2 linked regions of the Neodiprion lecontei genome follow. The protein of the gene in region 1 interacts with the protein of each later gene in a pairwise test. Links are inferred from orthologs where the notes say so. Each region holds a gene or a part of one and is shown on either strand. Other genes may lie near its edges. The genes, in order: rho GTPase-activating protein Graf and epidermal growth factor receptor substrate 15-like 1.

The links.
Region 2: the proteins of rho GTPase-activating protein Graf (region 1) and epidermal growth factor receptor substrate 15-like 1 interact in a two-hybrid assay, tested with the Caenorhabditis elegans proteins (2 studies listed by BioGRID). The link is inferred for Neodiprion lecontei from reciprocal best matches to the Caenorhabditis elegans genes T04C9.1 and ehs-1.

What each region holds. Positions count from the first base shown.
Region 1 is NC_060265.1:2,731,882-2,736,891, reverse strand, and holds the start of rho GTPase-activating protein Graf, read right to left. Parts: upstream 3,156-5,010; 5' UTR 2,629-3,155; coding exon 2,469-2,628; intron 1,882-2,468; coding exon 1,724-1,881; intron 1,357-1,723; exon of another isoform or gene 1,345-1,356; intron 1-1,344. Other genes in the region: zinc finger protein 330 homolog, read left to right, coding at 3,400-3,519, 3,655-3,825, 3,916-4,147, 4,279-4,443, 4,525-4,605, 4,704-4,906.
Region 2 is NC_060264.1:4,176,420-4,181,618, reverse strand, and holds the start of epidermal growth factor receptor substrate 15-like 1, read left to right. Parts: upstream 1-2,123; 5' UTR 2,124-2,124; coding exon 2,125-2,181; intron 2,182-2,895; coding exon 2,896-2,940; intron 2,941-3,032; coding exon 3,033-3,266; intron 3,267-3,691; coding exon 3,692-3,964; intron 3,965-4,054; coding exon 4,055-4,261; intron 4,262-4,398; coding exon 4,399-4,562; intron 4,563-4,747; coding exon 4,748-4,907; intron 4,908-5,199. Other genes in the region: PCI domain-containing protein 2, read left to right, coding at 1-57, 126-607, 855-1,375.

The sequences.
Region 1 (5,010 bases):
CCCGATCAACCGGGCTGCTCAGTACCAACGAATCCATGGATAAGTGAAATCATTATATGTTTTATTTGTCGAAGATGTAAATATTAGATTGAATTACTGCCAGCTTGTTGTTCGAAAGAATTCAGTACAACCGTACCCTGTTGCTCGTACGAAGCACGAAGGCACTCGAGAGGATGACGTTTAAACCACACCCCGATTAATCGGGGTTCTACTGTACGTATAACAGGCATGTAATTACATATGCAATGATCCATGATATGCACATAAATCAATGCTCGTCAATTATTTTACATTCAAATAGACCAGCCATGTCAAAGGTACATCTATTTTTTCTTCATTTTCTTGAATTTGGAAACTGATTACTTCAATACATCAGATATTGATGTATGATATTGTTTGATATGAGGATATTGCTGACTTACTTTACCAAATCAGTTTCATTTCCAAACCATATATAATTGATAAAAGATGCTGCAGAAAGTCTTTTTTATGTATATATATCGTTATAAACTAATGTCAAAGTATTTGCCAACACTGGATGTATCTTTGTTTTTAACATTGTTGAATGAGTGTTGTAATGAAAAAAGGTTTGCAATGATTAATTAACAGTGATTCAAAAGACACGCTTAACAAATATAAACGCATTGCTGTACAAAGCTGTACAATGTTGAATAAATTATTAATACTAGCATAAGAATGAAAAAGTGGTGCCGCGCTATCTCCGTCAAAAACTCGACTACTTTGTATTTTTTATGCGCACTAGTGCTTATAAAAACTACACATTATTCTCGTTTTTGACTGGAGGTAATACAGAAAATAGGTTTTGTGGCATGTGCGTGTATAGGTATATATATTCGCACTTTGCACTCGTCAAGGAATTCCCAATTTATGCGCATTTGCAATAAAAATAACTATTAATGTAACTTGATGTACAAAGCCTTAATAAGTATCATTGGTTATACTCTATCACACCGTTTCTACAGGAATATTAGAAAACCGGCTACATTTGATGGTTAGTTAAATAATACACGATAGTTATGTAATTAGATAAGACGTATTTATGAAGAGAAATGAATTTTGCGCTGACAGCAAAGTTTATACTTCGAAATGAAAGGATGTCGCACATTTTGATAACTTTGTTATAAAAAGTATATTCCTTTGAATATAATATTGCGTATTTTAATTGTCACTGTTGTTCAAATCAAAATATATATACGTAAATAATATTACTAATTTTGGTCTATAAACTATAAACTGTGAATGAAATGAGTCAACTATAGAATAGCTATGAATATTGGGTAAATGTATATTAAAAACGTTCATGCAAAGTAATATAATACTTGCGTGTCTTAATTTGTCCACTAGGTATAAAAACAAAAGACTTGGTTAGAAAGTTAATTGATTTATAATTTGAATAACACATTAACATGTTTAGCTCATACTTTGAGTATAAGGTCAAACTTTTATTGAATTAACAATTAATAGCATTTTTCACTGGCTGTACTTGGTATACAGTGAGTGCAATTTTTGCAGTATTCAACCAATAGCAGAAGCAGAATCCTAGGAAAATCGCACAGCGTGTAGCCAGTGAAAACTTCTATAATTGTATATAAATTATACTAAATTTCATAAAATATTATTGATCAACTCAATTTAAGTAAAACATAGATCAAAATATGCAAACATTTTAGGATAAATTTTTTCAACATTAACTGGGTCATACCATGCGATCACGCTCGTCCTCAATCGATGCGATAAGTCTACCAAATTCTTTCAAACTCTGTGATATGTGTGTTTCGTCCTCGGTTTGTGTTTCGCCAATACATTCAAAACTGAAGTTCTGAAGTGTTTTCGAGAATGTTCTTTGAGCTCGTGATAAATCTGCAAATCAAGATCACGGTAATAAACCTCATTAGCTAATCATGCATCTAAAAATTAGTATTACGTAATTTATTAGCTGTGACTGAAGACTCGATTCAATTTTCTATCGCTTTAAATGAAATTGGTATAACTTCTTTAAATAAGATTTGGTAGCTAATGCCTTAGGTGATGTATCAATTTAAAAAATTCAAGAATTATCGAAGAGCTAGCAAGTTGCCTCAGTATGAGCCTGACTGAATTTTCTTTCAACAAATAAGTTTATGTTGCGTCAAGGATACAAGCTCTATTCAAATGATATTGAAAATCGTTTTTTTACTTCTGGTTAGAATCAGATAGTAATATATATATGTCAATTTATATAATTCTTGGAATAGATTACTCTTTCTTTACACAAGACTTGTTTAACATATAGCAGAAAAATTCAACCAGTTATGTTTTAAGTGGATTTTCGCCCTTTTAAGGCCCTGAAGTTTGTGGGACTGCTGCATTGTCCTAATGTTCAGACGGCAATAAGGATAGTAAAATGCAGCGATAAAATTTTTTTGTCAAACTTACTTTATGGAGTCGTAAATGTGAAAAAAACTTACTTCTGGCAGCTATAAGCAAATCCTTGACCTCCTTTATCAAGCGTTTTATCTGTTGACTGGTTTTGTCTAATTCGCGTTCATGGGAATGAAGATTATCACGAAAATAGGGACTGTCCGTCAAACAGTCGGTAAATTCCAGCGGTTCCAGACCAACACCCATTATTATTAATTATCTTTCAAAGGATCGTATAATCATTCACAACTGAGTTAAATCAACTGCAAGCACAAATCTTGTAACGCTAAAATACGTAGGTGCGTTACCACAGAGAACGCGAAAGCTTTGCGGCACAGTTCAACTGCATTTATAATTTTCTTCGACAATTAATCCACAATCTGGAAGATGTCAATCAAGATTGCCAATGGAAGTATCAACACAGCCAATGGCTTAATTGTCCCAGTTATCACTAATCACGGAACAAAAATACGTCGTCTCCACTCCACCACGGCTCCACCGCTTTCCGTTGAAAATTATTGAAAAAAAAACTTCAGAGATGAGAGACTCAAAAGCATAATTCATGAATAGAATAACAATATAGCAAACGTCAATTTAGATTTTAATGATCAATTTTAGGAACGCGTCCTCGGGTATAATCATGAGATAACCGATGACGACAGATGTCCAAGCTTTACCACGGTTCAACAATATATACATGTGTATCCTCTTCCCCTTTGTAAAAGATGGAGCTGATTGTAAAATTGGCTGACGGCCATTGACCAATGAACGCATGGCGTAACATTGGGTGACAACCACTCACGAGATAGCTCGGAGCAAATCGGAGCGCAGGCTTGTTCGGAGTGCTGTTCGGTAAAACATAACCGTAATTTAATCACCGAATCCGGGTCAATACCATCGATACCGAAAAAATATACAATAGTTTTCGGCTTTACTTGGGTGTATTTTGATTTGCAAGTTATAAGCCAGTAAGCGATTATGCCGAAAAAAAAGACAGGTCAAAGGAAAAAGGCTGAGAAACAAAAGTTAAGACAAAAGGAAATTCGCACTGCCAAAGGTCAGATAGACCTTGCAAAATTTCCTAGCAATGCAATAATGGCAAGTATCATTGATGAGCAATACTTTGTTTTCGATCAAATAACCAAGTGACCTGTTTATTCATTTTTAACAAATATCCAAGCTAACTTCGGACCCTCTCTGTAAGTTTCGATAGTTATTAGGATTTTACTGCAGGAATGCGACAAGTGCAATAGAAAGCAGAAGAGTCGGGCATTTTGTTATTTCTGTCAGAGTGTTCAGCGTTTGCCAATATGTGCTCAATGTGGCAAAGTCAAATGCATGTTGAAGACTGGAGATTGTGTCGTTCGACATGTCGGAGTTTTTACAACTGGCCTTGGTATGGTGGTGCGTAAAATTTCAATTTTTGTCTAGAGTAATTTGACAATTTTTCCACAGTGATTTGCAGTTACATTCAAAACAAGTTTTATAATTTAGGGAGCAATATGTGACCACTGCGAGGCATGGGTATGCCATGGTAGACGATGTCTGACTTCCCATGCTTGTACTTGTCCGTTGATGGATGCAGTTTGTCAGGAGTGTGAACGAGGGGTATGGGATCACGGCGGCAGAATATTTCGATGCTCTTTCTGTGACTGCTTTCTGTGTGAAGATGATCAATTTGAGCATCAGGCATCTTGCCAAGTATTGGAGTCTGAAAGTTTCAAATGTAATTATGAAATATATTTTCACATGTTTTTATTATTCAAATATTTGGCACCACTAGTACAGTCAAGTAAAACACTGAATGACAAACCTGAAACCGAGATATTCAAGAGAATTGTTTTGAAAAAATTGCAGGTCAGTCCTGCAATAAGCTTGGACAATATTCTTGTCTGAGATGTAAAACGTGCTACTGTGAAGATCATGTTCGAAGGAAAGGTTTCAAGTACGAGAAGAACAAGCCAATTCCATGCCCCAAGTGCAGTTACGAAACCTCTCAAACAAAGGATCTTAGTATGTCAAGTAAGTTACAAAATTGGTACCATACTTCTTATATTAACAGCGATGTAACATCTATGAATCATATAATCTTCACTCTTACAGCAAGGAGCCATAAATTTGGTCGGCAAAATCAAGCAGGAACCTATGATTCTGATGAAGAAGATGGAGGATACGGATATTATGGTAAGATTTATTCAGTTTGTTTACTACGATTCAGAAAAACTTCGCACTAAATTTTTAAAAACGTTTTCTTAACAAAGATGTTCAATACTCTTGCACAGGTAATAGTACTCATAGCTATGGGGATTATGCAGATGACGCTGAAGACGCCGATGACGACGAAGATGACGAAGGTGAAAGTTCAGGTGAAGATGAAGAGGATGAGGAAGAAGAAAGTTCGTGTGATGAGGAGGAAAATACTAATCAGTCTGATTCTAAATGCGACAAGACATCTAAAATGGACAAAGGGACATCTGCTAGCTGAAATTGGGATAGTTAATTAATTGAGTATAGAGATTATTTCTATTGAAGAGGAGAGACCGTAAGGGGGACCATTTTATAAACTATCTGATAGTGAATAACATTTCA
Region 2 (5,199 bases), on another chromosome or scaffold:
AAAAGCAATGGAACACTTATCAGCACCCTTTGACGACCTGGTTTTACACCATATAAAGTAAGTAGAATATTTTTCAGAGATATTATTAAGCAAAAATAATTAAATTTTTGATAAACATTTTCCAGGGTCATATCGTCATTAAATAAAGACGATGCATTAACGTCGTATGCTCATCAGAGTGCAGCTATTCAGTCACTGGCAAAGATACTCCAGTTACAAAAAGACGAGAATTGGATGTTGCCAGTAATGAATTCCATGTGCTTAGATCTCAGGCGTCTAGCCCTTAAAGCTGAAGCATCCAAGTTTGGTAAAAATCAAAAGTCCGGTGAGGTGCTTGAAAAATGTGCTGAGTGCCTAATGAGCTGTTTTCGAGTTTGTGCAGCTGACAACAGGAACTCTGAAGATGACACGAAAAGATGGGGAATGCTCGCATTGGTTAACCAACTGTGGAAGGTCTATTTTCGCATAAACAAACTCGATTTATGCAAACCTCTAATCAGGATCATTGAATCGTCCGGTCTTAAGGATCAGTTCGCGCTCGCGCAAAAAATTACGTATAAATTTTTTATGGGACGCAAAGCCATTTTCGATAGTGATTACACAGCTGGTAAGCGTCAATAGTCAGTTGCAGGCCTTTCCACTGACAGTCACTTTTAAACTGGAAATGTAGCTTATTGTTCATTTTTTTTAAATTACTCAGCATTAAAAAATGTTTCACTTATGCTTTTCTAAATCAAAAAATGTTGAAAATGTATAATACAGATGATGTTAATTTTATCTAACTGGTAACGATGTTTTTAGAATGAAATTAAAGAGTGGATTTATTTAATGCCTGTTATTAAATTGTGTTACAGCGGACGAATATCTGACCTACGCTTTTGTCCGTTGCCACAAAGAATCAGCAAAGAACAAACGTTTAATTCTGACGTATTTAGTTCCCGTCAAAATGCTGCTGGGCTATATGCCAAAAAAATCATTGTTAGAAAAGTACAATCTATTGGAATTTTGGGAGTTGGTCGAAGCTGTTAAACGAGGAAACCTACGCAGCTTGGAGGAAGTGATGAACAAACATGAGATCTTCTTTATTAGTGCTGGGATTTACTTAATAGTTGAAAAGCTGAAGCTCATTACGTATAGAAATTTGTTCAAAAAGGTTTATCTCGTTTTAAATACCCATCAAATACCCGTAGCCAGTCTTTTGGCTGCTCTTGAAATGCACGGTGTTGACGATGTAGATATGGACGAAACGGAATGCCTTGTAGCCAATTTAATTTACGAGGGTAAAATCAGGGGTTACATTTCTCATCAGCACAAAAAATTGGTCATTTCAAAACAAAATCCGTTCCCGCAACTGTCATCGTTGAATTCAAATTGAATAAAAATACGATAATCAAATTCTGTGAATTTTGAAGTGGATTACGATACTATAATTAATATCGTTAAGGAAACCGCTGTTGTGTATACATACCTTTTATACGAAACCCGTAATTGTAGGTATGAATTAAATATTCTTGTTATACAAGTACGCATTTCTATTGTTTCTCTCTTGTCCAACGTCAGAAGATGCGTCAGACCATTTGCCAATGAAATAAAAGCTAATGGTATGATAATACGAATTTTAGAATACTATCAATATATATTCGTGAAGAGTACACGTTCGAAAATTCAAATTATGTAACTGACTTCGAGCTTAAGCATATTTTTTCGCAATCGTGAAGATAATTTAAAAGACAAGTCTCGAAAGGGGGAGGATTACTTTAACTGGTATAAAATAATCTGTCAAGTTTTTTATATTTTTTTGTTACTTAACAATTCAAATAGAGAAGATTAAAAATTTTCTTCGATGCATAAAGGCGTCATAAAAGTATATTTGAATCTGACACTAGACTCAAACGCGTGTGTACTGCATGGCAATGTAGGCAATACAGAAATTCTTTACGTAATAACGTAAGAAAATTGACGAAAGTATTTGTCTGTCGTTTGTATAATAGGGCATAATAAAGGGTCAGTTTTATCGTGATAATTGATCGTATAAATAAGAGTTATTAAATTTGTGAAAATCGTTAAAATGACGTACTATTGATTGAGGGCCTTATTGGTTCTTGGGCCTTCGGACCGCGGCCAATGAAAATCGCGTTAGTATTCGATGCAAGTATGGCCGCCTTGCCGTCACCTACGCAGGTATGTAATATTTTTTACATTATTTCCCCTGATTAATTCCTGTTGAGAATACCCTACGTGAGATATAATGGTAATGCGGATATTGTTTCGTAAGATAAATGAAATTCTATCAATAAACGCCTCCTCGTCGCTGTAAGAGGCGATTTTTTGGTCAACCTAAGCATCTCGCCACCCGTGACAGCATCGATGCTATCTCCGATTTTCGTTTGTTTATTTAACACGAGTGATTTTTTCATCGTGGATCTGTGGGCCTCGTTATTTAGTTAAATTGATCGTCCAGCAAGTACTGTTTAGCATTGATAACATTACTTCCATTAATCGAATCGCATGAAAATGGCGAACGTTTACCAATGCACACCCCTTTTCAGAATCGTCTCCTCACTTTGATGATAGAAAACCGTTTTGACAGTTGTTAAAAGAAGAGATAATAAAAAATATGAATAAAGAGTAAATCCTTTGTTATTGCATTTTCGAGTAACTTCATTTATACGGAGATACATTTTGTTCACCTCCTTCAGACTATAGATAATTGAAATGTGAAAAGGAATGATTGCTGTCATTTAAACGTTATCTAGCCTAATGCCAACTATCTTATTTCGCTTCCTGTTGATAAATATACGATTAATTTTGGATCTAACATTGCAGTTATAATACTACAATTTACATTTTTGATTACATTAGTGGAATACTAAAACAATAAAAACATTGTTTCAGGTGGCTGGAAGCCACAGCGCCATATATGAGGCCTATTATCATCAGGTAAATTACACTTTTACCTCTGTATATAATACAAATTATTAATTGTAATGTAAAGCGTGATGAAAAACGACTATACGTCAATTTATCTAAAGGTGGACCCTAACGGGTATGGCCGTATCGGAGCGATGGAAGCTGCACGATTTTTGAAAAAATCACAGCTGAGCGATGTTGTGCTTAGTAAAATTTGGGATATGGCGGATCCACAGTCGCGTGGATCATTGGATAAATCCGGACTTTTCGTCGCGCTAAAACTTTGCGCCCTCGCTCAGGCAGGAAGTGACTTGAGTATGGCAAACCTCAATATTGAAACACCTCCACCCAAAATGGTAGGTTTTAATCATTATTAGTAACTCTGGTCATTCTATCTAATATAAAAACACTAGCTTTCAAACATATCAGTTATTGTCTTGTATTTGGATATTGAGTGGGAAATATTTTTTCAACGAAATTAACAACTAAAAAGCACTCAAGTACAATTGTCGTTGACTGCAGAGTACAGCTGTTTAACACTATTTGCTTCGTTATCTTATCAGTTTAACATTCAAAACCTCTTCAAGCGTGTCTACTTCATATCTGAAAGAGAACAGAGATTACAGATTCCTTTTTTTCAAAGATATTTTACAATGGTCTCTGGCCAACTCAGTCATTTGAATACATCAAACTGATTTTGACAAACTTTTGATATCATTGATGGTAATGCGTATGCTATGTTTGACGAAACTTTTAGAGAGACATAATTAACGTTTTACAGGGTGAAATTCCAGTGATACCCCAAAAACCAAAGCCTATATCTCCAGGGATAATAACATCGATGAATAACGGGGACTGGTCGATAAAACCAAGTGAACGAACAAAATATGATCAGTTATTTGACAGCTTACAACCAGCTAATGGATACATTCCAGGAAATAAAGTGAAAGGTGTTCTTATGGATAGCAAACTGCCTCTTGATACTCTAGGAAAAATATGGGATCTTGCCGACATGGACAAAGATGGAATGCTCGACAGGCATGAATTTGTCATTGTAAGTCCTGTCGCTTGTCAAGTGCGAATAATTAATTTGTGTAATCATACTATTATTACTATTATTGTCTTTTTGATCTGTATTCTTCAGGCTATGCATTTGGTCTACAAGGCACTTGAGAAATATGCTATTCCCAATGTGCTACCTCCAGAATTAATGCCACCAGGCAAAAGAAAAGAAGTCATCATGTCAGTTGCTAAATCCCCAGTACCCCCAATGGTTAGCGGACCACCGCCTATTCCTCCTTTACCTACTGCACCTGCTCCCAGCAGTCTTGTCGGTTTAGAATCTACAAAGGTAATCAATTTTTTCTTGTCAAAACATGCAGCAGAGAAGGAACTTTGATAGAAAACTTAGCCTGAGTCGCGATTGAGTGATCTGCTAATTTCTTAACAATAATTCGACGATAAGATTCACCTTATTCATTATTTTAGCCACCAGCTGTTCAACACTGGGTCATCTCAGCCGAAGATCAGGCAGCTGCGGACAAGCTCTTTGCGCAAGCAGACATGGATATGGATGGATACGTATCTGGGTCTGAGATCAAAGATGTATTTCTACAGAGCGGCTTACCACAGACTGTTTTAGCTCAAATTTGGTATATCTTTGTTACAAGTATTCCGTTACCTGTCTCAAAAAATGTGTTCTAAGCCATTATTTTTTGCCTGTAAACTAGTCTATGTCTTCTTGAAAAAAATCAAATAACATACTTTCCTTAAGCTTTGGTTCCTTCATTCAGTCGATGATGAACCATTGATAAATGATTTATTTTGTACACAACAGGGGTTTGTGCGATATTTGTCAAAGTGGTAAACTGAATAAGGAACAATTCGCTCTGTCGATGTGGCTTATTAAGCAGCAACTAAGAGGCAAAGAGCCTCCCGCTACTCTAACACCTGAAATGATACCACCGTCTTTAAGAAAACTCACAGAAAACGTTGTGGTGAGTATTGAATAACCAATGAGTAATTACCTACTTGAATCAGTTGCTGAAAAAACTAGCATTCGTGCTCTTTTATTTATAATTCAACCCATCAACAGCTCACCAAACAAATTAATGCTTGGTAATACGTTTCCGGCCTTTGAAGGCCTTCCAGAATACGTAAAGAAGTACGGTAATTATTATAATTGCCCCAAACATAAATACGTGATGATTAAATTTTATTCCTTCAATTTCATCTGTCACTTCCAATCGTATTGTACCAGCTAATTCTTCGTTCTGCCAACAACTGGAA